Linked DNA regions of Diceros bicornis minor. The protein of the gene in region 1 interacts with the protein of each later gene in a pairwise test. Links are inferred from orthologs where the notes say so. Each region holds a gene or a part of one and is shown in the gene's direction. Other genes may lie near its edges.

The links.
Region 2: the proteins of EDA (region 1) and EMP3 interact in binary tests that used the Homo sapiens proteins (3 or more experiments, as listed by UniProt). The two-hybrid records come from large-scale screens. The link is inferred for Diceros bicornis minor from reciprocal best matches to the Homo sapiens genes EDA and EMP3.
Region 3: the proteins of EDA (region 1) and SEC22A interact in binary tests that used the Homo sapiens proteins (3 or more experiments, as listed by UniProt). The two-hybrid records come from large-scale screens. The link is inferred for Diceros bicornis minor from reciprocal best matches to the Homo sapiens genes EDA and SEC22A.
Region 4: the proteins of EDA (region 1) and myelin and lymphocyte protein interact in binary tests that used the Homo sapiens proteins (3 or more experiments, as listed by UniProt). The two-hybrid records come from large-scale screens. The link is inferred for Diceros bicornis minor from reciprocal best matches to the Homo sapiens genes EDA and MAL.

The regions. Positions count from the first base shown.
Region 1 is NC_080781.1:63,071,336-63,078,705, forward strand, and holds the start of EDA (ectodysplasin-A), read left to right. Parts: upstream 1-4,369; 5' UTR 4,370-4,560; coding exon 4,561-4,956; intron 4,957-5,165; coding exon of another isoform or gene 5,166-5,294; exon of another isoform or gene 5,295-5,675; intron 5,676-7,370. UniProt on the Homo sapiens protein: Cytokine which is involved in epithelial-mesenchymal signaling during morphogenesis of ectodermal organs. Functions as a ligand activating the DEATH-domain containing receptors EDAR and EDA2R. May also play a role in cell adhesion.
Region 2 is NC_080773.1:24,036,788-24,044,180, forward strand, and holds the start of EMP3 (epithelial membrane protein 3), read left to right. Parts: upstream 1-4,381; 5' UTR 4,382-4,487; intron 4,488-5,567; 5' UTR 5,568-5,582; coding exon 5,583-5,660; intron 5,661-5,963; coding exon 5,964-6,066; intron 6,067-6,936; coding exon 6,937-7,077; intron 7,078-7,393. UniProt on the Homo sapiens protein: Probably involved in cell proliferation and cell-cell interactions.
Region 3 is NC_080754.1:24,275,161-24,282,798, forward strand, and holds the start of SEC22A (vesicle-trafficking protein SEC22a), read left to right. Parts: upstream 1-4,631; 5' UTR 4,632-4,673; intron 4,674-4,715; exon of another isoform or gene 4,716-4,963; intron 4,964-7,306; exon of another isoform or gene 7,307-7,638. UniProt on the Homo sapiens protein: May be involved in vesicle transport between the ER and the Golgi complex.
Region 4 is NC_080779.1:17,291,586-17,299,466, forward strand, and holds the start of myelin and lymphocyte protein, read left to right. Parts: upstream 1-4,881; 5' UTR 4,882-4,956; coding exon 4,957-5,049; intron 5,050-7,881. UniProt on the Homo sapiens protein: May be involved in vesicular trafficking from the Golgi apparatus to the cell membrane. Plays a role in the maintenance of the myelin sheath, and in axon-glia and glia-glia interactions.

The DNA.
Region 1 (7,370 bases):
GCCATTCTGACAGGCATGAGGTGATATCTCATTGTAGTTTTGATTTGCATTTCCCTGATAATTAATGATTTTGAACATCTTTTCATGTTTCTGTTGGCCATCTGTGTATCTTGTTTGGAGAAATGTCTGTTCAGGTCTTTTTCCCATTTTTTAATTGGGTTGTTAGTTTTTTTGTTGTTGAGATGCATGAGTTCTTTATATATTTTGGAGATTAACCCTTTATCAGATGTATGCTTTGCAAATATCTTCTCCCAATTGTTAGGTTGTCTTTTCGTTTTGTTGATGGTTTCCTTTGCTGTGCAGAAGCTTTTTAGTTCGATGTAGTCCCATTTGTTTATTTTTTCTATTGTTTCTCTTGCCCGGTCATCATCTCCTTTTGATGGAAGTCTCTTAGACGGCAAAGACTAACATTTACTCTGCTGTGCCAGACACTTTGATATATAGCATCTCATTTAAGCACAGCTTTCTTACAAAGCATATGTTGTCATTTCCATTACACAGATGAGAAAACTGAGGCTCTGAAAGACAGGCAAAAACTACTTGTCCTAGGTCACACAGCTGGCAAGTGAATACGCTGGGATTCAAACCAGGATCCAAGTTCTAAGCCCATGTTCCTCTTGACTATCTATCTGCTTATCCCTAAGTGGGTCAGAGAGTCAACTCTCTGATATCTATGATTTGTTCTGTGGATTAACCAGAGCTAAGAGGTATTTTAAACCAGTCCCTGCCCAACTCCTTATCATATTCTGCCAGAAGTTGTCAACTCATTTTGAATATTTATTATTCAGGTATTGTCAACTAATATTGCTTTAATATTAGGCCCACACATACAAAATCAGGAAGGGAAATTTTATAGGCCAGAAAACCAGTGAAGTACTACAAACCAATTATATTTGAATTTCTGGATTATTTACTTTTCTGGATTTTCCACAACTCCAACAGTAGGACAAATAAGAGGATAATTGCACAGTTGCCGTTTGGTTCAATTTCCTTGATATCTTTCCATAATGTGTTATACAGCTCTGCACACAGTAGGTGCTTCATAAGTGGAAGTGACAGGCATCCGCTTGGCCCAGTTCCCTTTTTGGAATTCTAGGTAGTCTAAGTTAACCATCTCAGACTTCATGCCCCATTCATTTGACAAACAATACTGGTGCCCACTATGTGGTAGCTGCTATGCTAGGTACTAGGACTGCCAAAATGGAAAGGACATGGTTTTTACCATCAAGGAACTCACAGTTTAGTGGTGAGAAAGCATGTGAAAAAATAAAAACACAATGCAGTAAGTGATATCATTGAGATATGCTCAGGGTGCAGTGAAAGCATAAAGGAAAACCTGTTTGGAGTGAGTTGTGGGGCCGCATCAAGAAAACACATGATTTGATTCTTGAAGAATTTATCAGGTTTCCCAGGTGAGGGCATTCCTGGCAAAGAAATCGGTTTGTGCAAAGACACAGAAGTGTTAGAAGTGTCAACAAATTTAGTATTGTGGTAGCATGGGTTCCTTGTAGGACAGCAGAAGATGAGGTTGGCCAGGCAGATTATAGGTCATGCTAAGGAGCTGATATTTTGTCTCCTAGAGTGCTCGGGGCCAGACAGATAAGGTAAATGAGTGACAAGGACAGTAATGGAGACTAGAGGAAGCAGATGGGGATGATTGTGCAGAACTTGCTCACACTTGTTTCAAGGGGGCAGTTCTAGCTGACTGTAGCCATATGGGAATGTGGATCCAGTGTTGGCAGGTTTTCTTATTTTTTAATAGAGCAGCAGGAAATCTGGATTTTTTTTTTTTTTTTAGTGAGGAAGATTAGCCCTGAGCTAACATCTGTTGCCAATCCTCCTCTTTTTGCTGAGGAAGATTGGCCCTGGGCTAACATCCATGCCCATCTTCCTCTATTTTATATGTGGGATGCCACCACAGCATGGATGGCTTGATAAGCAGTGCATAGGTCCTCGCCTGGAATCTGAACCTGTGAACCCCAGGCTGCTGAAGCAGCACGCACGAACTTAATCATTAGGCCACTGGGCCGGCCCCAGAAAATCTGGATTTTTAATGTGAAACCTCCTAATTTCTAAATGCTGGCAAGTATTTTTTTTAATTCAAAGTTTTAGCCAACATTGCACCAAACACAACACCTCCATTTGCTGAATGTGGCCTGCAGACTGTCATTTTGATATCTGTGCTGTAGGGGATGGAGTACTTATGGAAGCATAGAAGCTAACTGAAGTAACACTTCAAACACTTTTAAAAAATAACTACATACATTCCTCACCGGATTGCCGCATTCCAACATTTCTACTGCATATGAAGTCATATGTTCTTCCTCCAGGGAACCAAAGTGAGGTCCCAGGTCAAATGCAACTTGCAGGGCTTCTGAGGGCAATGGTGCAACTCAGAGTCTCAGTCATCCTGGTGAAAGGCTGGTGAAACATGGTAAGCTGAGACCAGTAAGGCCCCTGAGCACCACCTCCACTACCAGGAGATGGCTGTTACTTGTTCCCTTTTCACTTTAGGGGAAGAAGGGACAGCTTTTTTGAACTGTGTATGTAACCAAGTCAACACAGCCAGTGATAACACAGATAAAACACAATGTTATAGCTGTTCAAGTTCAAATTCGTCATTTTACAGTTGGAGAAACTAAGGTCTCAAAAAGCACAGTGACTTGCTCAGAGTGACCCAGAGAGAGCCAGTCTAGAATTTCTAGACTGAACAAGCAGGATTTGAGATTAGCTGTTAAGCGCCCTTTTTTATTTTCTTATCTGCATGATGATAATATTCTTTGCAAACTTTATATTTCATGGGTAAGGGCCAACGAGGGGACACAAAGACGTTTCTGAAGCACTGAGACCCTTCACAAAGTGTCTGGAAGAAAAGTTGGCTGTGGCTAATATATTTAAGGTTTATGACCTCTCTGCACTCTGGACTGACGGCTCTACCATATGCTTTGTTTTTGTTTTGTTGTTTCTCTTCTTTTGTTTTCTTTTCCATTTCTCCCTATTTTTCTTCTTTCCCACCAGTCTAGGTCTTAGGCCTAGCCATTTCAAGTCAAAAAAACTGCTAATTATTCATAACATGGGAATGAGAGTGCATGGTGACAAAGAAGCATACATACTTCTCCTGCTATGGTCATTCAGTTCTCTATAATCTCAGACTAGTGAGTCTTGTCAATTGTGACTCAATTAATCCTTTCCATCCTTCATTTCAGGGTCTATTGTTCTGACATTTTCCACTTTTTTTGTTGTTTTTTGCTGTGAACCCTTTTCTGATTGGTGCAGCTGTTGAAGATGCTGCAGTTGAAGCAGTGTACATCTGGAACATTTGGCTGACTTGTTGAACTTCCCCCAGGGACTACTCCAGGGAGAGGAGGGGGGTGTGGAGAGGCCAGAACAGTTGCCTGCAAATAGAGATGCCGATATTGTCTGGCCATTCTGTGGACCACCCTTGTAAAAATCCACCTCATTCTGGTCCTCGGTTTCCCCATTTTCTTATTGAAGGCACGTGTTCTCCACTCAAAAATCCTGCCGCGGTGGAAGAAGAGAAACTATACTGGCTGTGGATTCTCTCATACAGCAGTTTCTGCATTGCAAAGAGATCAATACATATTTGTTGAATTAATTAATATATCAAGAAATCCTAGTGGATTGTTTTACCCCGGGTGGGGCAACATCACTTCACTCCCACCTGACACAGGTGGGTTTCTCCGTCACTTAGATTGAGGCCCCAGACTCACTGTAAGAGTGGGGCTGCCTCAGTCCCACCCCATTCTCACTCCCTTTGGCTCTCAGGCTCCTGGGTCTCTCTTTCTTTTGCCACGCCATTGGATTGCAAACACAGCAGGCATGGTTTCATTCCAAACCCAGAGCTGTTTTAATTAGTTTAACGTCTGTTAAATGCTTTGAAGATTGAAAGCAACAGATAAGTACTGGATGATGTTATTAACAACTGCAGTTAATTGCAAACATTTCTATTAATACTAGTTTCTGCCTCCTTTTCTTTGCTCTACTTTCTCTCCAAGGTTCCCAAATTCTTCTCAGCCTCCCTCTCTTCCCTCTCCCCTGTACTGGCGCTACAGGGTTAAATTGGGGCGGAGTCCAGGGATGAACGACAGCGGCAGTCACCAACTGGAACCGGGCAAGCGGGAAGAGCTGGGTGGGGCCGCCAGGCAGAGGCGAACCCACACGCCCCCAGGTCCCGCCCCGCGGCTGGAGGCCCTGGGTGGAACGGCCGGGGGCGGGGCGCCGAGGCTTGGCGGGCCCGGTGGTTGGGTGTCCCGGCAGCCGCTTGAGGGATGGGGCGGGTCGGCCCGGGCCTCCTCCCTCATTCTCTCCGAGGGCCAGCCGCCCGTCTCTCCCGCCCGTCCTCCTCCCTTTCCCACCCCTCGAAGTGGAGCTGCACATGCGGCTGCTCCCTGCTCCGTCCCGCCCAGCGCCCGTAGCGCAGGAACGGGTCCCTGCAGCCCCCAGCCGATGGCAGGACAGTAGCCGCCTGTCAGGGGTCGTGAACCGCTGAGGCAGACGCGGCGGCTCCCGGGCCTCAGAGAGTGGGCGTCTCCGGAGGCCATGGGCTACCCCGAGGTAGAGCGAAGGGAACCTCTGCCCGCGGCAGCGCCGCGGGAGCGGGGGAGCCAGGGCTGCGGCTGTCGCGGGGCCCCTGCCCGGGCGGGCGAAGGGAACAGCTGCCGGCTCTTCCTGGGTTTCTTTGGCCTCTCGCTGGCCCTCCACCTGCTGACGTTGTGCTGCTACCTGGAGTTGCGCTCTGAGTTGCGGCGGGAACGGGGAGCCGAGTCCCGCCTTGGCGGCCCCGGCACCCCTGGCACCTCTGGGACCCTCAGCAGCTCCGGTGGCCTGGACCCTGATGGTTCCATCACCCGCCACTTCGGGCAGCCGTCACCTCAGCAGCAGCCCCTGGAACCGGGAGAAACCACATTCCCCCCAGACTCCCAGGACGGGCACCAGGTGAGTCACCTAGTAGGGGTGGCGGCGGCAGAGGCCCCCTCCCCTTGTGGGCAGGGCGGGGGCCCTCCCCCACAGGGCCCTGGGGAGGACTCTGCCACCTCGAGCTAAGTTGGAGGGTAGGACCTGGGAGGGGGCAGGCGGGCGTGGGAGAGGTTGCCCCGGGGCAGGTTGTCCCCGACCCCTGGCTCGGCTCACCCAGACTCTCTCAGGACCCCAGGACTTGGGAACTCTGGCCTGCGCCCGCCGTCCCCGGCTACAGGCTGCCTCGGGAAAAGTTGGCTGCGCTCCCGGCCGGGCCGGGGGGCGGAGGTGCCGGCGCTGCCCTTCTGGCGGACTAACGGCAGCAACTTGGCCCTTCTGCTCCTGGTGAGATTCTCTGCCCGCGGTGCTTGTTTTTTCGTGCCCAGAGCTGATGCCAGCACTAGCAGGCTCTCCTTTGGTGTTGGAGCTGTAAACAGCTGTAATAAATGCTCCACGCCGGTTGAAACAACTTTTAATCGTATTTTCAGCGCGGATCTTTCTGCGCTGACCAGAACGTGGGCTTGCTCACACTTACCTGCAATTTGAGACTGGTTGTCCTCAGTGTTCTAGTGAGGATCAGCGCCCCTGAGGAATTCTGGTAGAAATATGCCGTCTTGCTAGACAACTTCTGAACAGCAATTTAAAAAAATCTATGGAAATAAAACTCACCCTTTGCATGCCAGTTCTGACTCTTTTTTGGGGGGTGGGTAGGGAGGGGGCGTGTAACGTGCCTTCGCTACTGCTAGCTTGAGACCAGGAATCTACTGATGGAATAATTACTCAAGAGTAATCTCTCAAGAGCAGTTTTTGCAAACTTTATGATGTTTGTGCCCTTGTTAGCAAACTATTAGCTTTGCTGCTTGTTTTCTACTTTTTCTAGCTCCTTATTCAAGTAAATCTAGTGCACTTAAAATAAGTATTCTCTTGACTGCCATATTTTGTCTTATGTGAAACTTGAGAAGCATCTAAGAATCCTTTTGAGGTGGTTAAAGAATAATAGTGAATTTGTTCCTCCTGGCGAAGAGGGCATGTTGTGCAAATAATTTCCTTGAGGTCAGGGACCCAGGCCTTCTATATTTTCTACCACATCCAGAATCATTGTCATACTCTGCAAACATTATTTGTGCTACCTTGACCACCCATTCAAAGCTGCTATCACATTCATGATAATACTGTAATGTTAGGACTCACACATTTTCTACATTGTGCATTGTAAAGTTGCCCTGAGCCTTAAAATGTCTTGCTAGCACACTCCAACTTATATAACAGCCTATCAAAGAAGAGAATCAGTAGACATGCTTCTCATACTTGAAACTTTAAACACTGTAGCTAAATGATAATTAACTAGGATTCTGGCTCCCTTTATCTATCAACCCCCTCCTCCCCCAACAATGCCCAGTAGAAATACTTAGCAGCTGAACATTAATATTCTGTGAAAAGATGAAGGAATTGAGCTTCCTTAGTCAAATGATGGCCAAGGCTTTTTGGCATTCAGAATAGACAGACCCATGTTTATGGACTGAAGATTAGCAGGACAATTGTAGTCTAGGGCTTCTGTGATGGTGTGAGACTCTCACAGGTCTATAATGGCATTTAGTTACCTGTCTTTTGCATGGCACTTCAAATAGTTCTGTCTTGGTTTAAATACAGCTCCCTATTGTCTATCCTTTATTCTTTGTTTTAATTTTTTTGAGCAGTAGACGCAAGCATACTGGCTCTTTACGTTTGTTGACATCAATTAGAGTCAGAAATTTTTAGAATTGTGAGGCCACATGAGTCCGTTTTGTTTGATCCCCTTGCCCTGAGGGGGAAGTGACTTGTCCAAGGTCATGCAACTATTGTCAAAATTAGAATGGAAGTTGATATCTTGACTCCCAGATCAGTGCCCATTCCCCTATAGCATACTACCTCCTGGAGCCTTTTTGGAGGGAATAGGGTGGAGCTCCATAGTAGAATTTTTACAAAGTAGAAGGCTCAGATCTGCATCATTTTCTGCTACTTTACCTACATTTTGGCCAGACTAAGTTTAACCATGTATCCTTATTCTTCCTGAATTTCACTTTCAGGAGAATTGGAGTATGCTTTGAAGAAATTTTAGCCCAGATTCAACTTAAGTTTATCTTGAGGATATTAGTTTTAGCATACCAAAAAAACAAAAAAAAGGAAAAGTTGATCAGCTATTAGAGATAAATTGATACTGCTACACCTTGGGTAAAATTTCTAGTGCCCTGGTGCACCCTCTGCTGGCTTTGCAGGGACATTTAATTTCAGTATATGCTGACAGTCAAGATTCTAAGTTATACCGACAGATTCTGATTCATAAATAAGGAAATAAACAGCCTTGTGGGATTTGGCCACATAGGTCATATTTTTATATTTTAGTTTTTCAACAC
Region 2 (7,393 bases), on another chromosome or scaffold:
CTTCAGACAGCGGGCGGGAGAGGGCCCGGAGGAGAGTGGGCGACGAACGGCGAGGGGGTAGGATTTGGAAGAGGGTGACCCCGAACACCTCTGGCCTTTCCTTGAGTCTCATTTCCTCCAGTGGGCTGCAGGGGTCCCCTCTCCGGCCTCTCCCCCACCCCTCCCGACCTCCCGCCTCTCACATGCTGTCTTGCGTCGCGGCTCTGACTCTGGCGCGGGGGACAGGTCCCCTAGACTCTCGGTATCTCTGCGGCGGGGCTGCTTGGGGAAGGGGTCACAAAGGAAGGGGAAAGCCCCGGCCGGCTGTGGGGGGCGAGGCCCGGGCCCTACCTGCTGGAGTGCCCGACCTGTCCTCGGCGCTTCAAGCTCACTGTTGTGGTCTGGTTACTGCGGAGATAAGGGGCCAATGAGGCCTGAGGACCGCGGCCGGGGAGGGACCAAGGCAGCGCGGAGAGGGCGCGGGAGGGGAGGCTGGGGAGGAGGGGCCGAGGAGGCCGCAAGTGCTGGGTCCCGGGCGCTTTGAACAGACGCGTGGGGGAGCCCTCCAAGGGGCGGGGCTAGGAGGGCTGTAAGGGGCGTGGTCTGCGAGGGGTGGGGCTATGGGGGTCGGAAAGTGGAGGCTAGGAGGGCAATGAAGGGCCGGACAGTGGGGGGCCTGCGAGGGACGTTGCTGGAAGGGCTTGCGAGGTGAGGGGCACGGGTCCCTGTAGGGGGCGGGGCCTGGGGGGGGCCCTGCGAGGGGCGTGGCATGGGAACCTGTAGGAGGCGGGGCTTGGGGGGCCCTGCGAGGGGCGGGGCACGGGTCCCTGTCAGGAGCGGGGCCTGGGGGGCCCTGCGAGGGGCGTGGCATGGGAACCTGTAGGGGGCGGGGCCTGGGGGGGCCCTGCGAGGGGCGTGGCATGGGAACCTGTAGGAGGCGGGGCTTGGGGGGCCCTGAGAGGGGCGGGGCACGGGTCCCTGTCAGGAGCGGGGCCTGGGGGGCCCTGCGAGGGGCGGGGCACGGGGACCTGTAGGGGGCGGGGCTTGGGGGGCCCTAGGAGGGGCGGGGCAGGGGTCCCTGTAGGGGGCGGGGTCGGGGGCCTGCGAGGGGAGGGGCACGGGTCCATGTGGGGGCGGCCTGCTGGGAGCCCTGGGAGGGGAGGGGCACGGGTCCCTGTAGGGGGCGAGACAGCGGGGCCTTGGGAGGGGAGGGGCACAGGTACAAGAGGAGGGTGGGGGCTGTGGGGCTACGGGGGCGTGGTTGGAGGAACACGCGAGGGGTCCGGTGGGAGGGCACAGGAGGGCCGCTGGCTCCCGGGACGTGCGGGGCACGGGGCTCATCAGGAGGCACTCAGGGTCGGAGGGCCTGTGGGAGGTGGGGATGGTCTGTGTGGGGAGCACGGGCCTGTGAGGGGCGGGCTGTGTGTTTCCGGGAGGAGGAGGCAGGAGCTGAGAGAGCCTGTGGAGGCAGGGCTGGGAGGGAAGCGTCTGCAAGGCTCTGGAGCTAGGCCGAAGTCTGTCGGACGCGCCCTGAGAGATGCGTGTCTTAAGCTGATTAAGACCACGCTGAGGATTCATTAGCAGGGAGGCGGTGTGGATGCTGGGAGTTGTGAGGGGGAGGAGCGCTCACCACCACCTCAGGTCCTCACAACGGCTCACTACGCATGCGCAGTCAACGGCCTCCAGGGAAGCCGCCAAAAACCCTTTGCTGTCTGCGGAGTCCGCGCACTGAGGCGGAAGTGGGCGGGGCCTAGGGCGCTTCGCTCCGCCTCTGCCTTCCGGCCACGCCCTGTCTGGCCACACCCCCTCGCTCCGCAGGGCCCGCCCCCCGGGCGGGGGACTGCTCCCCACGTGGGCCTCCCTGCAGCGGGCCGGCAGTGGGCGCCGCTCCCTGCAGCCTGGGTGTGCCTGACGCCTGCGGTTTCCTGTGGGAGGAAGCGGCCCGCGGGCGCTCAGCTCAGCTCGTAGCCTTGGAGGCCCGGGAGGGGGAGATCCTGCCACCGCTCCCGGGTCCCCTGATTCTTCCCCTCCACAGGGCCCTAGCATGGGGGACTCCCGAACATCCCCAGGAGACGCAAGTCTGGCGTTCATTCCACTCGGGGAACTTGATTCAAAGTCCTAGCCTCCTGTCCACCTCCCTCGCTCAAATTTCCGTCTCCCTCTTTTCTGGTTCCCAGGTTCCTCCCAAGACTAGGTCCGGTTCCCTTTGCCTGCACCCCAGGAAGAGCAGAGGACGCTCCAGGCCCTAATTTTTCCCAGTGACCCAGACTTTCTGATTTCCTTGGGGTTCTGAGCTCAGAGCCTCTCTGTCCTCAAAGGCTTAAATTTGAGACTACTTATTTCCCAACCCAGAGACCCTCATTTTGTACTCCCAACCTTTTAGCCTTGGAGCCCAAAGGACCCAAGAATTTGCCCCTTCCCCAAGTCCTAGAGTCCTCGATCTGGGGTCCCCCAGTACTGAATCCACTCAGGGCCCCAATGCCTCCTGTAACTAGCACATACAACAGTGCTGTGCCAGGGGACTACTCTTAGAACCACCCTATGAGGTATTTACTATTTTTAGTCCTATTTTACAAATAAAGAAACTGAGGCCTAGAGAGGTTATTAGTAACTTGCCCAAAATCACAGCTAATGAGTAAAGCAGCTTGGATTTGAATCCAGCCACTGTGTCTCTAAAGTCTGTGCTATACTGTTACCCAGCTTCCAGGTCACTCGAGTACCCACCCAGTCACTGAAGTGCCCATCCCTCACCCCCTCAGGGAGCCCAGATGACCAACCACTCTCCCTCCCCCTAGCTCCGGCCCCATCAGATACCCAGACATCCCATCATCCAGCTCTCTTCCTTTGCAGGAACCCAGGATGTCAGTCCACCAGCTCTCAATTCCACTTCAGGACCCCAGACAACTGGACACCTCACTTTTCACCAGCAGCCAACTCTTCCAAGAGACCCACGTACATAGTAGTCACCCCCCACCCTAATTCAATATCCCAAGAATACATAATAATCATCATCATCATACTTAACATTAAGTCCCCAGTATTGCACTTCTGTTTAAAACCTCCAGTGGCTTCCCACCGCACTTAGAATAAAATCCAGGCTCCTCTAGGCTTCAAGGGCTCTCTTTGATTTCCCTTCCTACCCCTCCCTCTAGCTCCCTATGTTCTAGCCACATTGGCCCTTCTGTCTGCTCCCCAAACAACCTGAGCTTGTTCTCAAAGCCCTTTACACTTCCTCTTCCTCCCAGCATTCAAATGACTCCTGTCTTCAGGTCTCCTTCAGGTCTCGGCTCAGATGTCACCTCCTCAGAGAGGCCTCGCCTGATGACCCTGTTTAAAGTCGCCTCGCCTCATTACCTCCATCACTCTATTTTATTTCCTTCAAAGCACTTAGCACTCTGTGATATTTATCGGCTTCAGTGATATGTTTCCTCTTTATTGTCTGTCTCCCTTAAACTGGAAGGTAGACTCCATAATAACAGAAGGGCTCGCATTTGTTTTCTTCATTATTAACTCCTGGTTCAAAATAGATGTTCAATAAATATTTGATGAAGAAAGGGATGAACGTGTTAGGTGTGTTAGTGTACTGGTATGACCTTATTCATTTAGAATAAGTATCAGAATTATTATCTGTATTAGTATATTGTCAGTATTATTAGTATTATTGTACCCACCTCACAGATTAGGAAACCAGGGCTCAGAGAGGTGAAATAATTGGTGACCCCCAGGCAGAAAACGGTAGCGCTGGGACTCTCAACCTCCACTTCCTGCCGCCTTCCAGAGTTTCACTCTTCCCCATTCCCATCCTCTGACCCCCACTGTGGTGCCAGCTCCACCAGCTCCACCAGCCCCCAGCCCACTGCACACGGCAGGAATCTGACCTCCTCCCCAGACTCCCATCCCTGTGGGTATCCAGTCCTAAGCTCCATCAAGGAAAGCAGACATCCGATCCCAGGATGCGACCCAGAACGGAGGCCTGAGATTCGGGCCCTCCCACCCTCTGACGCTTGCCCCACCCCAGGGCCCCTGGTCCACCCGGCGTGCTCCAAGGACTTCTCAACCCTGGGAGATGAGAAGATGCTTGTCTGGAGGCAACGGGTGGGGGCCCAGAGAAGGAGGAACCAAGTGCCTGGGCCCTCCCTCTGGCTGCAGACCTCAGCTGGGTGGGGTCAGGGTGGGTATAAAAGGGTCGGTATATATTGAGAGGAGCAGAGAAGGAGAAACCAGGAGTGTGACAAGAGAGAGAGGAGGAGGTATAGGCAGTGAGGACAGGAGGGAGAGACAAGAGGCAGAAGGAGAGAGAGAGAGAAAGAGAGAGAAAGGGTTCCCGGATTGGAGGGGAGAAGGAGGGAGAGAGCCAGAGGGGAGAGCGAGCAAGCGAGGGAGGGAGGGAGGGAGGAAGGCGGGGAGGGAGGCGGGGGCCTCGAGAGGGTGGAAGGAGGGAGGAGAAGGGCGGGGCACGGAGGCCAGAGCGAGGGACGAGACTCCAACTCTGACTTTTCTGCTGCTCGGTAAGTTTCCAATCCGTTATTCAGACTGGGATTTCTTTATTTACTTGGAAGTACACAGTTTGGGACGGTCACCCCCAGGCTGGGAGAGACTCCCCGACTCTCCACCCCATGGAAATCTCTGTAATTTAAGAAGTGATCTCGTAGCACTTGGGGTGGGGATTCAGGAAGGGGTGGAGCCCGGCAAGGTTTTGGGGTTCACAGCTCCACCCGAAAACTTCCCGCACTTTTTCCCCCGGCTCTCCACTCTCCCTGAAGTCTGACATCAGGGCTTTGCATGAGAACACCCCAAGTCTGGGGGACCTCCAGGCCCCCCCCTTTCTGGACACTGAAAGGTCATGTGAGGTTGGCTCTTTCTCCTCAGGCTATCTCCTCTCAACACAGATCTTGTCCATTTTCCTTACAAGATGTCCAGAGGGCACCAGTCTGGCAGCAGGGTTGGGTGGGGACCTCGTGGGCACAGCCAGGGGCTGGGGTTTCCCTGGTGCTTGAAGGCAGGGGGTGGGATGAGTCACCGGATGACTCACCCGGTCCCCCTTCCTCCCTGCCCCAGGAGAGGAGTGGGGTGAGTCAAGGATGCCTGTCTCTGAGGGCAGCCCCCAGCTTCTGATGAATCTGGAGGGGTGTCAACTTGAAATTTCATATCATGGCCCATACGTGCCCAGGGACAGGGCTCTGAGAAGAAGGGGACCACCTCACTAGTCCTACTCACTCCTGGACCCCAGAGTCCATCCCTGGCTCTCACCAACCCCCAAGGGAAATTCAGGATTCCAGGACCCCAACCCCTCCTCCCTTAGACCCAGGAATCTGGACCACAGCCTCCTCCTCCCTCAGACCCAAGAGTCTGGACCCCAGCCTCCTCCTCCCTCAGACCCAGGATTCTGGACCCCACCCTCCCCCTAGACCCAGGAATCTGGACCCCAGCCTTCTCTCCCCTCAGACCCTGGAGTCTGGACCCCACCCTCCACCTCCCTCAGACCCAGGAGTCTGGACTCAGCCCCCTTCTCCACCAGCATTCAGGCATCTCACCTGCCCCTGTGCCAACCTCTTGAAATGACTATCTCCTGACGTCCCCCATACCAGGCTTCCACTGCAGCCATGTCGCTCCTCCTGCTGGTGGTCTCTGCCCTTCACATCCTCATCCTCATCCTGCTTTTCGTGGCCACTTTGGACAAGGTAAGCCTACTCGAGCAGAGCAGCAGGGCCTCCCGCTGTCCTGCAGACTGCCACCACACCCCTCCTCTCCTTTCAAGTCACTCTGGCCCTGCCCCTTTTCCCTAGCATCTACCCCTCTGAGCTCTACCTCTGATGCCTCCACTCTGCCCTGTCCCCTAACCCCCCCTTACCTACTAAATCCATGCTTTCCCCCAGTTCAGCTCCTTCCCAGCACCTCACCCTTTTCCTAATCCTTCCTTCAGTCTCCCTGACCCCACCCACTTTCCTTCCCTACTCCTGCCCTTGTTTCTCTGTCCATCCCAGTCCTGGTGGACCCTCCCTGGGAAGGAGTCCCTGAACCTCTGGCACGACTGCACGTGGAACAGTGACAACAAAACCTGGGCCTGCAGTAACGTCAGCGAGAACGGTGAGGGGTGAGGGGTGTCGGGGAGGCTGGTCTGCAAAGGGGAGGGGTAACCCCAGGTCTCCTCCCAGGACCGAGGATTGGGAACCCCCCAAGGTCTGAGTGGGAAGGTCTGGGTCCCAATGCTGAGTGAGTGGAGCTGATGTATGACCAACCCACCTCTCTGGATGATAGGGGGAAAAAAGCTCATGTTCTAAAGAGGATGGGCCAAATGCCCCCCTCCCTCATGATTCAGAAGGAGTGGAGGCCACATGCTATAGGTTTAAGGAATGGGGAGAAAGCTCCCAAGATTGTTAGATGATAGAATTATGTTTCCAGAGTCCTAAGGAGATGGGACTGGTGTTCTGAATGGATGGTTGGGACCAATTTGACCAAGTTCCAAGGAGGTGGGGCTGGAACCACATTAAGGTTCTAAAGGAGTGGGGTTGGATGCATCTGAGTTCTTTAAAGGGGCAGAGCTGCATCCATCGAAATTTCTAAGTGAAAGAAGGTGAAAGATTAAATGCTTTTCTCCTAAGGGCAAAGCAAGAATTTCTACTTTCACACCTCTCTTCAACATTGCACTGGAGGTAGCCAATGCAACAAGGCAAGAAAAAGAAATAAAAGGCATAAAGATGGGAAAGGAAGAAGTAAAAGTCTCTATTCCCAGTGGATATATTTCTGTAGAAAATCCTAAAGAATCTGCAAAGCACCTTCTAGAACTGATAAGGGAGTTTAGCAGTTACGGGAATCAAGGTCAATATACGTGATACTCCTAAGTATCTAAGGTTGTGGGGCTCTACGTGGGAGACGGGTTGGGGGGGCAAATAATGAGCAAGCAGGTGGAGCTGGAACTCTGGACGTGCTGTGACTTCCACCTCTATCTCACTGCAGGCTGGCTGAAGGCGGTGCAGGTCCTCATGGTGCTTTCCCTCATCCTCTGTTGTCTGTCCTTCATCCTGTTCATGTTCCAACTCTACACCATGCGGCGAGGAGGGCTCTTCTATGCCACTGGCCTCTGCCAGCTTTGCACCAGTGAGCACTCTCCCCTAGGGATTGGAGGGAAGGCGGGGGAGGGGGGCTGTCAGGATGCTGGGGGCCCTGGGAATGGACATCTGGCACCTGAGGTGCCTCCATGGGCTACCTTTCTGCCCAAGGGACTTATGGGAGCTGTAGTTTTCAGGGACTCAGTGGTGGTTTGTGGTGTCTCTGAGTCATGGGGGAGCTGGCACTTAGAGCTTCAAGGAGTCAGGGATGGGGTTAGGTGGTGTGGACAAATAATTTAGATCCCAGGGATGGGGGGGGTTGGTAGGTGGCTAACTAATACCCCAAGAGAGAACTCTGAGTCATA
Region 3 (7,638 bases), on another chromosome or scaffold:
TGTCTGATATTAATAAAATTACTTCATCTTTCTTTTGATTAGTGATTGGGTTTTTCTTTTTCCATTCTTTTATTTTTAACTGACCTGTGTCTTTATATTTGAAGTGGGTTTCTTGTAGATAGCATATAATTGGCCCTTTTTATTTAATTCCCTAGGACAATCTTTGCCTTTTAATTCCAAGATTTAGACTATTTACATTTAATGTAATTATCAATATGATTGGGTTTAAATCTATCATATTGGCTATTTTGTTTTTATTTGCTTATCTGTTCTTTGTTCCATTTTTTCTTGCCTGCTTTTGGATTGAGTATTTTATAGTATTCTAATTTTAATTTTCCTATTGACTTATTAGCTTTTGGATACCTTTTTTTTTTCTTTTAGTCATTCCTCCTATGATATATATTTTTAACTTATCACAATATACCGTCAAATTATACCACTTCAAGTATGATGTAAGAACCTTATAACATATGTATCCAGTCACCTTTCCTTTATATTGTTAACGTGTATTTTACTTCTTCATTTGTCATAAACCTCACAGAACATTTTTACTATTTTTTATTTAAATGGTTAATTATATTTTAGAGAAATTTTAAAAAGAAGGAAAAATCTTTATATTAACTTACATATTTACCATTTCTCACACTTTTTGTTCCATTTGTGTGAATTCAGATTTCCATTTGGAATCATGTGTGTTTAATCTGAAGAACTTTCTTTAGCATTTATTATAATTCAGGTATGCTAGTAACAAATTGTCTCATCTCTTGTTTGTCTGAAAATGCCTTTATTTCACCTCCACTTTTTGAAAGAATTTTTGCTGGATATAAAATTCTAGATTGACAGGGCTTTTTCTTTTAGGACTTTAAAGATTTTATTCCATTATCTCCAGGCTTGCATTCTTCCTGATGTGAAGTTGGTAGTACTTCCTGTTTTTGTTCCCTACATACAATGTGGCTTTTTATCTGGTTGTTTCTAATATTTTCTTTCAATTATTGGTTTTCAGCAGTTTGAGTGTAATGTGTCTTGGTGTGGCTTTCTTTGTGTTTATCCTGTTTGGGGTTTGTTTGCTCTTTTCAATCTGCAGTTTATATTTCTTTTTAAATTTAGAAAAATTTTGGCCATGATTTCTTCAAATATTTTTAACTCCTCTCCTCTCTTTCTGGGTCTCTGATTACACATGTTTTAGATGACGTGGTATTGCCCCACAGGTCACCAAAGTTCTGTTCACGTTCTTTTCAACTTTTCTTCTCTTTGTGCTTTGGTGTAGATAATTCTTTTGCACTGTTTTCTTGTCCATGAATCTTTTCTTCTGCAGTGTCTAAACTGCTTTTAAGCCCATCCAATAAAATTTTTGCTTCAGATTATTGTATTTTTCTGCTCTATTAGTTCAATTTGGTTCTTTTATAGTTTCCATTTCTCTTATTATATTTATGTTTTCCTTTAAATTCTTGGTCATACTTATAATAGCTGCTTTAAAATCCTTATCTGTTAATTTCATCATCTGTGTCATTTCTGGGTCTATTTCTATTGACTGACTGTTCTCCTGCTTATGGTTCACATTTTCCTGCTTCTTCAATGTATAGTAATTTTTATTGGATACTGGACATTGTGGGTGCTAGATGTTTTAGTGCCTGGATTTTATTGTCTTTCTCTAAAGACTGTTGAGTTTCATTCAAGCAAGCAGTTAATTTGCTTGCAGATCAGCTTGTTCAGCTTGGTTTGGTTGGGTCTAGAATAGCCTTCACTCTTGGGCTAGTTCAGCCTTATTTCTAAAGTGTGGCCTTTCTGAGGTCTCTCTACCAAATACCCCAGGTGTCTAATAAAGTTTCTCTATTCCAATTCATCAGAACTTGGATGTTTCCAAACTCTATTCACACTCTAGTAGTTGTTCAGCTTACAGTTCCCCAGTAATTTTCTTTCTCTAGTAGTTGTTATTTAACCAGCCTCATGGAGTCTATCCTTAAACCTACACCAAAGATTCAAGAAGCCCCTGGTGCATATTTGGAAAGCTCTTTCCCTGGTACTCTGCCTTGCAAATTTTAGTTGCCCAATCTTTCCTAATTCTAATTTCTATATCCTCAGTTAGTAAGAGTACTGTATTCTGCTTGGCTTTCTTCCATCCTGTGGTTAGGTAAATACCTACAGAAGGAAATCTGGGGAACTCTTTGGGCTCATATTGTTTGTTTTCCTTCTCTCCAGGATCACAGTTTTACTGTGCCTGTTGTCCAATGTCTGGAAACACTTGTTTCATAGATTTGGTCCAGTTTTCCACTGTTTGTTTTGGGAAGGTTAGTCTGGTACCAGTTACTTATTCATGGCTGGATCACCTTTAACATTTTTAAAATGTAAACTTTCTTTTTTTTTTTTTTTGTGAGGAAGATCAGCCCTGAGCTAACATCCATGCTAATCCTCCTCTTTTTGCTGAGGAAGATCGGCTCTGAGCTAACATCTATTGCCAATCCTCCTCCTTTTTTATCCCCCCCCCAAAGCCCCCGTAGATAGTTGTATGTCATAGTTGCACATCCTTCTAGTTGCTGTATGTGGGACGCGGCCTCAGCATGGCCGGAGAAGCGGTGCCTCAGTGTGCGCCCGGGATCTGAACCCGGGCCGCCAGTAGCAGAGTGCATGCAGTTAACCGCTAAGCCATGGGGCCGGCCCATAAAATGTAAACTTTCTATTGTTTAATAAAATACATACTGAAAAATTGCATAAACCTTAAGTGTACAGCTTGATGAATTTTTATTAATTTAACACACTGGTGTAACCAACACTCAGATCAAGGAGAACATTCTTAAGAAGACCCCTAGTGCCCCTTTCCAAACGTTAATACCTAAGGGTAGCCAATATCCTGGTGTCTATTACCATAATTATTTTTGTCTGTTTTTGAACATTATATAAATGGAATCATGTAGTATACAATTTTTGTATCTGACTTTTACTCAGTTTTATGACTGTGAGATTCATCCACGTTCTATGTGTAGTTGTAGACTGTTCATTCACTTTCCTGTATATTATTCCACTATGTGAATATTCTAAAATTTATTCATCCTGTGAACATTCTTATATATGTCTTTTGGTGAACATATGAATACATTTCTGTTGTGGCTATACCTAAGAGTGGAATTTCTAAGAGTCTTTTGGTGAACATATGAATACATTTCTGTTGTGGCTATACCTAAGAGTTAACCCACTCCAACAACCATCACATTTATATAATTAGTCCAAACCTTTCTTGTGAACTCCAGACTTACATATGCAAATCTGTTTGACATTTCCATTTATAAGTATCTCAAATTTAACATGTCTAAAAACATTTGCTCCTCCTTCTACGTTCCCTGAATCAGTAAATGGCTTCTTAATCCATCTAGTTTCTTAAGGAGTCATTCTTAATGCTCTTCTTTTCTTTACCCTTCCTGGAAAGCCAATCCATTATTAAGTCCCTTGAATTCCACCTCCAATTTATAAATGTCTCAAAATTATCCAACTTTTTCTGTTTCTGGTGCCATTACCCTAACTCAAGCCACCATCATCTCTGGCCTTGACTAATACAACTGCCTCCAAATTGGCCTTCCAGCAACCCCTCCTGCCCTCTTCCAAACTATTCCCACAAACAGCCTGGTGAGCTTTTAAATATGTAAATTAGATCCTACTTAACACCCTCTATTAGCTGCCCCTTGACCTTAGGATACATTGTAAAATAGTCTAAAATCTATAATGTGGCCAATAATAGTCTGCATGGTCTGGCCTCTGCCTCATCTCAGCCCAAGTTTGCTCCCTGAACTCCAACCACACTGGTTTTCTTTCAATTCCTAGAACACACCAAGTTTTCTCATGCCCCAGTAACCTCACACATAATGCTCTCTTGGCCTGGAACATTCTTTAAGGCTTTTTCATATGCCTGGAGCTTAAAAGGCACTTCTTCAAAGAGTTCTTCCTTGATAGTCCAGAATTAATCCATCATCGCACCCTTTAATTTTCCTTCATAGTCCTGATCACAATTTTTAATTATGTAATGATTTATGCTTTAATGTCTCTTGCTCCTAGTATGCCTTAGATTCCACCCAGTGTTATGTTCACCCCCTGTAACCCAATGCCTAACCCGGTGCTCGGCACATGGTAGACAGTAAGTGCTTGTTTAATAATGCATGACTAATGCAAAGGCTGGAAGGGGCTGCAGGGCCAGCATCTGGCACTTCTCTGCCAAGGTCAGGTGCCTCCTTGCGTGGGGTGGTAGATGGGGCAGGTCCTTTTCTTGCTCACTCAAAGGGGGCTTTTGCCCCCTGCTCCCTGGATAAGTGTTTGCTGTAGGGCCGCGTGTGAGACAAACTGCCTCCAGATACTGGTGGCAGGCGGCAGAGTTTAGCCTTATTTCTGAGGCAAAGCACAGAGACTGTCACCAGAGGATTTTGCAATCTCTTGACGCAGGTGCCCTGAGAGGCTGCTCTTGTCTCCTGCAGGGGGCGGGACTACCTCGGGCGCGGGGAGGGGGCGTGGCAGTGTGTGCTTCCCACAGAACCTGATTGGCCTGGGCGAGCCGAGGGACGTGGGCGGGGCTTGGTTCCGCCGGGCGCCAGCCACGTTGGACGCGGGGCTGCCCCGCGGAAAGGCCACTCCCCGGGCCCACAATGCAGCGCGGGCCGCGTCACCCGGAGCGGCGGGTCCCGGCTCGACAGGTACGGCTCTGCCCCTCCCAGTCCTCGTTCCTCGCTTCTCAGGGTCGCTCGAACCGTGGCCGGCCGCTCCTCTCGGTCTCCTGCCTCCTGCCACGGCCCCGGCGCTCGCCCTCGCGACTACAGACCCACCCCGGGCAGGAGCCAAGCCCGTGCCGTGGGGGCGGGAGCCGGGTGTGGTTGGAGCCGCGGAGCCCTGGAGGGGCAGGGTTGCGGGGACCTCGTCACCTCCGTCGTGAGCGGCCTGTGGGGGCCGCGCGGGCGGCGGTTGCTCCTCGGCTGACCTGCCCTGGGTAGGGGGCAGCCCGGCAGGGGGCCTGAGGGGGAGGGACAGTCACTCTGGGCTGCCAGCGGTGGGGGCCGTTCCCTGGCCCCGGGTGTCAGAAACACGGTGACCACCTGGGCTGCTTAGGTGGCCCAGAGAGTTTGACGTGGCATTTCCTATTTCTTTTCAGCAGGGTGGGATTTGAACCAGTGGTTGGCTTTGCGTTTTGTAGGGATGGAACGGGCATGGAGCCGAGGTTTGGCCGCGTTGGCTCACGGAACCTCTTGAGGCCCTGTTAATGGCACTTGGGGAACGATGTGGCGTAAAGGAGACCTGAGCAATTGGCTTGAAAGGTGGAAGATGGCTCCGAAATAGGAGACCGAACCCCAGCCAGCTTGAGTCTCTGCCAGTGGAAACAGCTTTGGACTTGTCTCCTGCTCCTTAGTTGGGGAACTTGAGAACCGGCCCCTCCCATGCCTGTCCAGCCGAGGCAAAGCCCGGGGCTATAGTGTCAGGCCCCTGAGGGAGATGTTGGGATCCCCGCTAACAGCTGGAACAGCCACTTTTAAAAACTCTCTGAATCCCATTCCGCGGTACTGGCATTTGCTCAGAGCTGAGATTATAAGGAATTAGGCAGTACCTTAAACAGTATCTACAATTTCTGGGATATGAAAGTTGTAGGTCAGTATTTGAGTCTGACATCTGTGACCTTGTCGTAAGTTAATGGGACATCTGGGCATTTACTATGTTGAGAACCGTAATATCAGTTTAGCGCGCTTTTTTTTGTGTATGACCGACTTTTAAAAATCTAAGTATATTTTATATTGGTGTATGAAAGAAGCCCAGGTCTTATGAAGGGGGTGCCTGTGACCTTCCTCTCTATGTAGTTGAATAAGAAGCTTGGATATATTGAGAGGCAATGTTCTCTTTGAGTGGGTAGAGTTAGGCCTGAGTTTAAATCTGCCACTTGCTAGTTTAGGGTTTGAATAAATTGCTTAACCTTTCTGAGCTTGAATTTCTTCAAAGGTATAATAGGACTGATAATACCTACCTCACAGGTTATTTATTGGAAGGCTTAAGTGAGGTTAATGTGTATAAATTGCCTGGTAAATAGAGGGCAGTCAATAAATAATAATAGCAGCAAACACTTAATATTGCACTTTTAGTCTGCTAGGCAGTGTTTCAGGTTCTTTACATGTCCCTATGAGGTAGATACTGTTAGTAGCCACATTTTACCCGTGAGGAAATTGAGTTTAGAAAGGCAAAGCTTGCCCAAGCTTACACAGTACCTCATGGAGCCAGTTTTTGAGCCCAGGCAATCTGGCTCCAGAATCCATCCTATTAACTACTATACTATACTGCCTCTTAAAGAAAATGTAAGCTGATCTTTTATCATTATTTCAAAATGCGTAGCTAGATAGTTTCTGTATCACTGAGTTCTTGCCCCTTGTTGGTTTTAGGAGACTGATATAGCCCAGTGATGTAGAGATACAAGAGGCTTAGGTTTAAGCACCAGTTCTGCTGTATATTAGCAGGGTGATATTGAAAAAGGGGGCCTCAGTTTTCTCATCTGTAAAATGGAGGTTATAGCTACCTCACTGTTTGTAGACTATGAGGTGCTGCACACACGTTGGGGTGAGACACATTTGTGCATGTGTTGGGGGCCCTGTTCGTAGATGTGGGTATAATCTACTCTGGAGCCTGAGGTCTTACACAGACTGTGCAGTACAAGCACCTGTAATAGGACTATCAAAGGCTGCTGGTGAGGTGGGGGCCCAGGCAAAGCTGCAGAATAAACTCTGGCTGTCCTTGGTACTGGTGCTGTCTCCAAAGTGCCTTCTTGCTAACCTGTGCTGTGTAACGTCTTCCCTTTCACTCATTCTTGCATCACAGTTAGTATAGCTTTCTCCTCAAATACTCGCCCCCGTTCCCAGTTCCCACAGATCTCAGCTGGCACTTTTAATAAAGTGATACATACCAAGATAGTGTTTCCCAAACTTTGGTACCATCAGATATGCAAGACAATTTGAATGATGAGCAGATGAACATTTAAAAAAAAGATTCTCCAAAAATTTTCACATATACACATTTGAAAGAAACAAAAAAAGTCTTCTATTTGTTTTAATTTAAATGAAGAGGACAACTTAACACCTCAAAACTGATTTCACAGATACTGTTGCTAAGGATAAGGCAAAAAAATAAGTCAACTGAAAGACCTATATTAGGTAAATAATAGTACAGGTGGGATGCAGATGTGGTAAGAATTCTGAAAATGGTACTTGGATGGCTGAAGTTTGGGAAATAATGAACTAAAATAAATATAGGTGATTAACCCAATATGAAATGTTTTTATCTTGAAAGAGGCATTTATGAAAGCCTCTTGCTGGAAAGTAGATATAAAAGATACTTGTATGTTGAGTTTTGTTTATTACTTTTTGAGAGAGTGCCTTCCTGGTACTTTGGGCTCACGGTCATTACCCCACAAGGTTCTGAAGAAGAGAGGTCAGTATCTAGTTTTGGGTCTAAAAGGTTGCTAACCACTGCTATAGTAGTTAGGCATTGTGGGAGTTTATTTTCCTCAGCCTTTAGATAAATGTTTACTCAGACCTACCTAGATTCTAGTTTGGGCTTTTTCCTCTGGCTGTTGCCATTGGGGAAAGGATATACAGGCCAGTATTAAGATTCCCTATGAGTTTTCTGCTG
Region 4 (7,881 bases), on another chromosome or scaffold:
GCCAGGAGTGGAAATCCAGGGCTGCGGGAGATTGTTAAACAAATACATTCCCTCTGGGTCAGCGCTGGCCCAGGGTAGCTCTCTGAACTCGGGCCTTCACCCAGCTTCCCCGTCCATAAATGGGGATGATGACCTCCGACCTTGTGTCCCCAGTCAGGAGAGGAAAGGTCCAGAGCCCTGTCAGCTGGGCAGAGATGCCTCAGGGATCCAGTGCCCAGCACCACATTTGAGATTAGCACAAAGACTGGATTTGGGTGGCTGCCGACGGTCTGCACGGAACATGCCATTTGATTGCAATTGTCCATCTTCAGCATGTTTTTTTCATTTTTATATTGTTTGAATCCTTTCATAGATTTATTGAGAAATAATTGACAGGCATCACTATATTAGTTTAAAGTGTACAGCATGATGGTTTGATTTACATATACGTGAAATGATTGCCACAGTAGGTTTGGTGAACATCTGTCATCTCATATAGATACAATAAAAAGAAAAGAAAAAAAACTTCTCCTTGTGGTGAGAGCTCTCAGGATCTTCTCTCTTGACAACTTTCCTGTGTCTCATCCAGCAGTGTTCACTGTGGTCACCCTGCTGCACGTTACATCCCTGGTCCTTGTTCATCTTATAACCAGAAGTTTGTACCTTGTAACCACTCTCCTCTAATCCCCCCTCCCCCAGCCCCCTGCTCTGGGAACCACGTGTCTGATCTCTTTTTCTATGAGTTGGGTGGGTTTTTTTGTGGTTGTTTTTTGTTTCTTTAGATTCTACACATAAATGAGATCATACAGTATTTGTCTTTCTCTGCCTGACTTATTTCACTTCGCATAATGTCTTCAAGGTCCATCCATGTTGTTGGGAATGGTTGGATTTTCTCATTTCTTATGGCTGAATAATGTTCCACTGTATATATATACCACGACTTCCTTATCCATCATCCCTCCATTAAGCATGGTCTTAATCAAGCGCTTGCAGCTTTGGGGGCACAGCATCACTCAGGGTCAAGGCCGAGCTCCACCACTCACAGCCGTGTGGCCTTCGGCAGCTACTCAACCTTTCTGAGCCTCCATCACCTCATAAGTAAAATGGGAGTCATTCTACAGACCCCAAAATAAATCACACCTACTATTATTTACTGGCAAGACCTGCCCCAGGAATCTTTCCCTGAACAGGTCTCTCTCCCTTAATCTCTTGTCCCACACCCAATTCTCTCCTCTGAACACACAAACTGGAGATGACCTCTTCTAGTATCAGGCTGGCACAGCAAATGTCGCTTTCTAGTTCCTACTTTGTAGAAACCCACCCTAGACCATGTTATTATTTTGACAGAAGCCCCAGACCCACCCCAGACTGACCCCTACAGTCACACCCACTATGCAGCTAGGAAGACCGAGGACACTGCAATGAGTTACTATCGGCTGAGGTTGTGTTTTCATATCCTGCTGGAAGCCAAAGTGTGGTCCTGGTCTCCCTATACATATGAACCACCTAAATCATCAGCTGGTGGCCCAGAGCACCCTGGGGAAGCTCTGTGACATGAAGACACACCCGTCTCTACTGACAATACTCTCCGTTCACACAGAGTCATTCCACTTCCTCCTCAGGCAGTCAAGCACGGACAAGGCTGGGTCCATCCTGGCAGTGGATGATATGTACTGAGCACCGTGCGTGGGCTGGGGTCTTGGCTGGGCACCGAGGACGTGATATGGCAGGAAGGAGACAAGCGGGTGGGGTGGGGTGGGGCTGCCCTGCAGAGGGTGGAGTGTGGTCAGGAAGAGGAACATCGAGCAAAGGATTGAGGTGAGATGAGGGTCACAGAGAAAGGGACCTTCCTAAGTCCTGTGTGCCCTCTTAGGCCTTCTCAAAGGAGGGTTGGGGCCGCTCAGCTTCATGGGCTACACCAGGGGGCTGTGCCTTCTCCCCAGAGTCACAGCCCAGCCTGAGGAATTTAGCAACACAGGTTTGAAACAGCAGAAAACCCAACCAAAAAACAAACAAACCAACAAAAAACCTCAAGGCCGGGAGAAGAGATTATTAAGAGGTGAGAAGACCTTTGTGTGTTTTAATTAGTGAATACTGACACAGAAATTGCCGAACAGCTTTGGATGGATTTACTTGAGCATGGCTTGTGGCTCGTCCCCACTAGAGTTTCCTCAGGAGGAGGGAGGAGATGGACTCCCTGGGTCTCAGGCCACCAAGGCCAGCAGCCCCGCAGAGGCTCACAGAGGTGCAGTGGGATTTTCTCATTTCAAATGCCTGGTCCCTCTCCATAAGTGGGCAGAATGGACAGTTCATGGGCATGGATCTTTTTTTTTTTTTGGTAATGTGTCCAGGAATTTACTTTTCTCCATAGGGACTGGGAAGGAAAAAGAGCTGTGTAGAGGGGAAAAGGTGAGGGTCCCAATGGAGAGAGGGGGGCTGTTGCCCCGCTATGGCTGTGGGTGAAGCCACAGTAGTTCTGGGGAGTCTGACCTGGGGGCAGGCACTGGACTGTGGGCCAATTTTTAGCTTTAGGACTTGTAAGAGAAAACTCAGTAATAGTATGTAAATTAAAATAAACAGGCAAACTACCAAAGTGTGATACTTGTTAAAAATACAGTCAAAAAAGAATAAAGAGCTGTCAATTTTGTTCCATGGATCTGTGTGTCTGTTTTTCTGCCAGTACTGTGCTGTTTTGATTACTATAGCTTTGTAGTATATTTTGAATTCCGAGAGTGTGATACCACAAATCTATGGACAGCTAATATTCAACAAAGGAGCCAAGAACATACAATGGAGAAAGGAAAGTCTCTTCAATAAATGGTGTTGTGAAAACCGGACAGCCATGTGCAAAAGAATGAAAGTAGACCATTATCTTTCACCATACACCAAAATTGACTCAAAATGTATTAAAGACTTGAATGTAAGACCTGAAATCATAAAACTCGTAGAAGAAAACATAGGCAGTACACTCTTTGACGTCAGTTTTAGCAGTATCTTTTTGAATACCATGTCTACTCAGGCAGGGGAAACAAAAGAAAAAATAAACAAATGGGACTACATCAGACTAAAAAGCTTATGCAAGGAATCCACAAAATGAAAAGACAACACACTAACTGGGAGAAAATATTTGCAAATCGTGTATCTGACAAGTGGTTAATTTCCAAAATATATAAAAACACATACTACTCAACAACAAAAAAATGAACATCCTGATCAAGAAATAGGCAGAGGATATGAACAGTCATTTTTCCAAAGAAAATATAGAGATGGGCAACAGGCATATGAAAAGATGTTCAACATCTCTAATTAGTAGGAAAATGCAAATCAAAACTACAATGAGATACCACCTCACACCCATGAGATTGGCTATAATTAACAAGACAAGAAATAAATGTTGGAGCAGATGTGGAGAAAAGGGAATCCTTATGTAGTGCTGGTGGGACTGCAAACTGGTGCAGCCACTTTGGAAAACAGTATGGAGATTTCTCAAAAAATTAAAAATAGATATACCATATGATACAGCTATTCCACTACTGGGTATTTATCCAAAGAACACGAAAACACTAATTCAAAAAGATATATGCACCCGTATGTTCATCACAGCATTATTTACAATAGCCAAGATGTGGAAGCAACCCAAGTGCCTGACAATGGATGATTGGATAAAGATGTGGTGTATACACACAATGGAATACTACTCAGCCATAAAAAAGACAAAATCAACAACATGGATGGACTTTGAGGGTATAATGCTAAGTGAAACAACTCAGAGAGAGAAAGACAAATACTGCACGACTTCACTAATACGTGCAGATAAACAAACACATAGATAAGGAGAACAGATTAGTGGTTACCAGAGGGGAAGGGGTAAATGGAGGGCGAATAGGGTAAAGGGCCACATATGTATGGTGACAGATGAAAACTAGACTATTGGTGGTGAGCACAATGCAGTCTACACAGAAACTGTTACATAATAATGTACATCTGGAATTATGCAATGTTATAAGCCAACATGACCTCAATAAAATAATTTTAAAAAAAGAATAAAGAAATCGTGGTCCAGAAAACAAAAACCCAGCAGCAACAGGTAGTCATAGGACATGGGGAGGAGGAGTCATGGCACGGCAGAGGCGCAGAGCTGCCCCCTCTGAGAGAGGGCATAGATCTGCTCAAGGAGGGCCCTTCCTGTCTCTTGGCTTCCATGCAGATCTGCCCCAGCACCACCACCACCCCTCCTCTGGGGCTGACAGGGCCGAGAGAAACCTCCTACCCTCAAACAGACAAACTGGAAGCTCCAGCACGCAGTGGAGCGGACCCCGGGTGCAAGGTTCCTGGCGCCGGACTCCAAAGGCGCGGGGAGAAGGGGTGGTGGTCAGAGGTGGTCTCAACGCCGCCCCTGCAAACCCCAGCCTGCAGCTGCGGCCAGAAGTAGGACCTCGTCCCACCGTGAGCCTGAATGCGGACGTCACATATACTAACCCACCCAGTGGAAAGATGAAGACGCAACCTAAGAATAGCTATAGCAATGGTGACCTGAGGATTGACAGGGTGGGGAGTTTGGAGAGCCTAGTTACTGATGGTTATCGTTTTTAAGGGATGGTGATCCCCTGCGAAGAGTTCAAAGCGTGCGACACGCTTCGTCAAAGTGTCTTTTTCCTGCTCCCCACGGGAGATGGCACCCGGAGGTGGGACGCAGGAGTCAGGTCCCCGTCTCCAGCCCGGCACGCCCGCTGGGCGCCCTCAGGGTGGTTCAGGGCGGCGCCCTAGGCACTCTGGCCGGGTCCCTTGGGGCGCGCACGGCCAGCTCTGACGGGGCGTGGCGGTGTCCCGGGCTCCTCCCTCCTGCGCCCCGGGCGCCTCCGCTCTTAACCCGCAAGCCGGCGGGCGCCGGGGCCACTGGGCTCCGCCGAGCAAGCGAGAGGTCAGCCGGGAGGCGAGCCGCGCGTCCTGTCCCCAGGCCGACGCCAGCACGCCGGCATGGCCCCCACAGCGGCATCGAGTGGCAGCACCCTGCCCAGCGGCTTCGCTGTCTTCACCACCTTCCCCGACTTGCTGTTCATCTTTGAGTTTGTGAGTAGCTGGCGCCGGAGCTGGGGCGGGGGCGGGATGGGCTGTGCCGCGCGCTGTAGCGGGGGCTCCGCACAGCCGACTGGACCAGATCCACAAGTTGTGGGGTCCCGGGAGCATCGGGATAGCTGGGCCAGGATAAGGACAGTCTCCCCCCACCCCAGCCGTTTGGCCCCTTCTAGACCAACTACAGTGGGGGAAACAGTCTCCAGGACTTAGGCGGAAAAACCAAACTCGCAGCATGGGGCAGATGTTGGAAGCGGGCCAGGGTCCATTCGTCACGCTGGTTCCAAAGGTGCGCTCCCCACCCGGTTCACACGGGCCGCGCAGAGGAAGCCCTTATTGGAGAGCGATGTCCTTGTAGAGGCGCCCAGCTCTCTCCAGGGTTAGGATTTCGTTTACAAAAATCAGCAAAAGAAACCTGAGCATCACCAACCGAGGTTTGGGGATTGGGTTGGTGTAGGAGGAGCTGAATCCAGATGATTCTCTTCTGACCATTGAAAGTTTCTGGCGAGAGAACGTATTTGCAACAACTTTGATCTGGAAAAATAATAAAACAGGCCACCATTTGCTGCACCACAGTCATTCCACCCTGTGTGTGGAGTGAGGGGAGGGAGGGGGCTGGTGAGAGCTGTCCTCTGCCTTGGCTGACCTTGAGAAATGGGAAGGCCTCCATACCTGACATTGGTCCCTCCTTAGGCTGGAGCCACACAGCAGTGCAGGTGGCAGCGGGAAAGCGCTTCCTACCCTGGGCTCCTGGTAAAGTGCTCACTGTGTCTCCACGCTTCAGACCACCCTCAGCATAAACTCCCCAGGGGCCACAGGCCCTCAGCTGGGAGAGGATGTGCTGTGTGTATACTGTGGGTGCAGAGCCTTGCAGCTGCGGAGACTCCTTTCCTGCACCTCCCTTCCCTGCATCCCACAGAAGAGTTGGCTGGAAAAGAGCTTGTCCAAATCTGACTGTTTAAAAAGGGACTCCAGCTTCTTATGGCCTGACTGGAGGCGGAGGGTGTGAACAGCAAAGGAGCAGGTTCTGTCATCCATGGACAGTTTGGGGAAAGGGCTAAGGGACCGAGGTTGTGGGGTGGCACCAAATCACTGCATTTGTGAGAGTTGAGTTGAGCTCACACCTGCATGTACCCATAGTGACTTTAAGTCCTGGGGCTAGCCAGAATCAAGGAGTGACATCTAGAAGAAACCCTGGACACCACTACCACCATTTCTGGATAGGGACAATCAGGCCCAGAGTGGGGAGGGTCTTGCACCCACTGGAACATTCTTTCCCCAAATGGCTCCTCTGGGTGCATCTATTCAGCATTTGGCCTGTGCTTGTCCAAGGCTGATTTCTGAAGATGAGCACACAGTGCGCATGACCTGGGAGTAAGTAGTGGGTGTTCCTTCAGAGGCCACTGTATTTACAAAGGCAGAGTTTCATGACCAAAAGAGATGATGGCTGATGGTGAGGTGTGATGGGGCAGAGAGATTTTGAAGCAACAAGAAGTCTTCCTAGTGTCTCTTCAGTTGCCCTAATGAGTGGCTTCCTCTGCCTTTGTAGCTGTTCAGGGAGCATTGTGACAAGAATCACGAGAGAGGGCGTTAGCAGGGCTTCATGCGAAAGACTCAGGTGCACCTCCTTCTCCTGCCCTCACAAGAGCTGGCTCAGGTGGCAGCAGGTGTGGAGGGCCTGGCTTCACAGAGGGGACAGCCTCCCAGTGCCCGCTGACTCCTCTTGGCATCCCAGCCTAGGGGAAGGAGTGCTCCTGGGGGTAGGAACAGCCCAGCCAGGCAGGGTGATCTGTGGGGGAGGGGATGGAAGGATCCCACCCATCCTACCAAGTGAAAGGAGAGAGCAGGGGTGTGGGAAATCTCAGAGCCATGGAGTAGTGGAAGTTTACTCCTCCAGGGCGGTTTTGTGACCTGTAATAGTAGAGGCTTCTACAAGAAATAGTTCTCCCTTGCCCAGACCACTTTGCTCTCAGCTGTCATAGAAGTTGTTTTTACTCCTCCCCCTCAGCTCCTGCTCTCCAGACGCAGACCTTCTCCCTCCTACTTCCTGAGAGATGCTGGACACCTCAGTTGTCACCTCCAAACTCTTTCTTCCTCTCTAGATTGGGGATGGGTCCCGGGATGCCTGGGAGAACAGGAAAAAAAGCAGACACCATTCCTTTAAGTTTTCCTCTGCACAGATTGTACATGGGAAGCGGGATGTGCTTTGGTGTGTAAAAGAACAGAGACTTGAAGGGCCCGAGGAGGCACTGGCCACCCTGGGAGAGTTTTTTTAAATTATGGACTATTACAACACAACAACAAAAAGATAAACAAGCCAGTTAGAAAATGGGCAAAGGACTTGAATAGACATTTCTCCAAAGAAAATATACAGATGGCCAATAAGCACATGAAAAGAAACTCAACATCAAAAAGATCATCAACATTAATCGTTAGGAAAATGAAATCAAAACCACAATGAGGTACCCTTTCACATGAAACTAGGATGACTCTTATCAAAAAACTGGAAAATAGCAAGTGCAGACCAGAGTGTGGAGAAATTGGGGCCCTCATACATTGGTGGTGGGAATGTAAAATGGTTCTTCTGCTGTTGAAAAGAGTTTGATGGTTCCTCAAAAAAATTATCATATGACCCAGCAATTCCACACCTGGGTTTATAACCTACAGAATTGAAGGCGGGGACCTGAATAGGTACGTGTACACGCGTGTTCATAGCAGCACTGTTCACGATAACCAACAGGTGGAAACAGCTGAAGTGTCCCATCAACGGAGGAATGGACAAACTGTGATATATTCACACAGTGGAGTATTACTCAGCCGTAGGAAGGA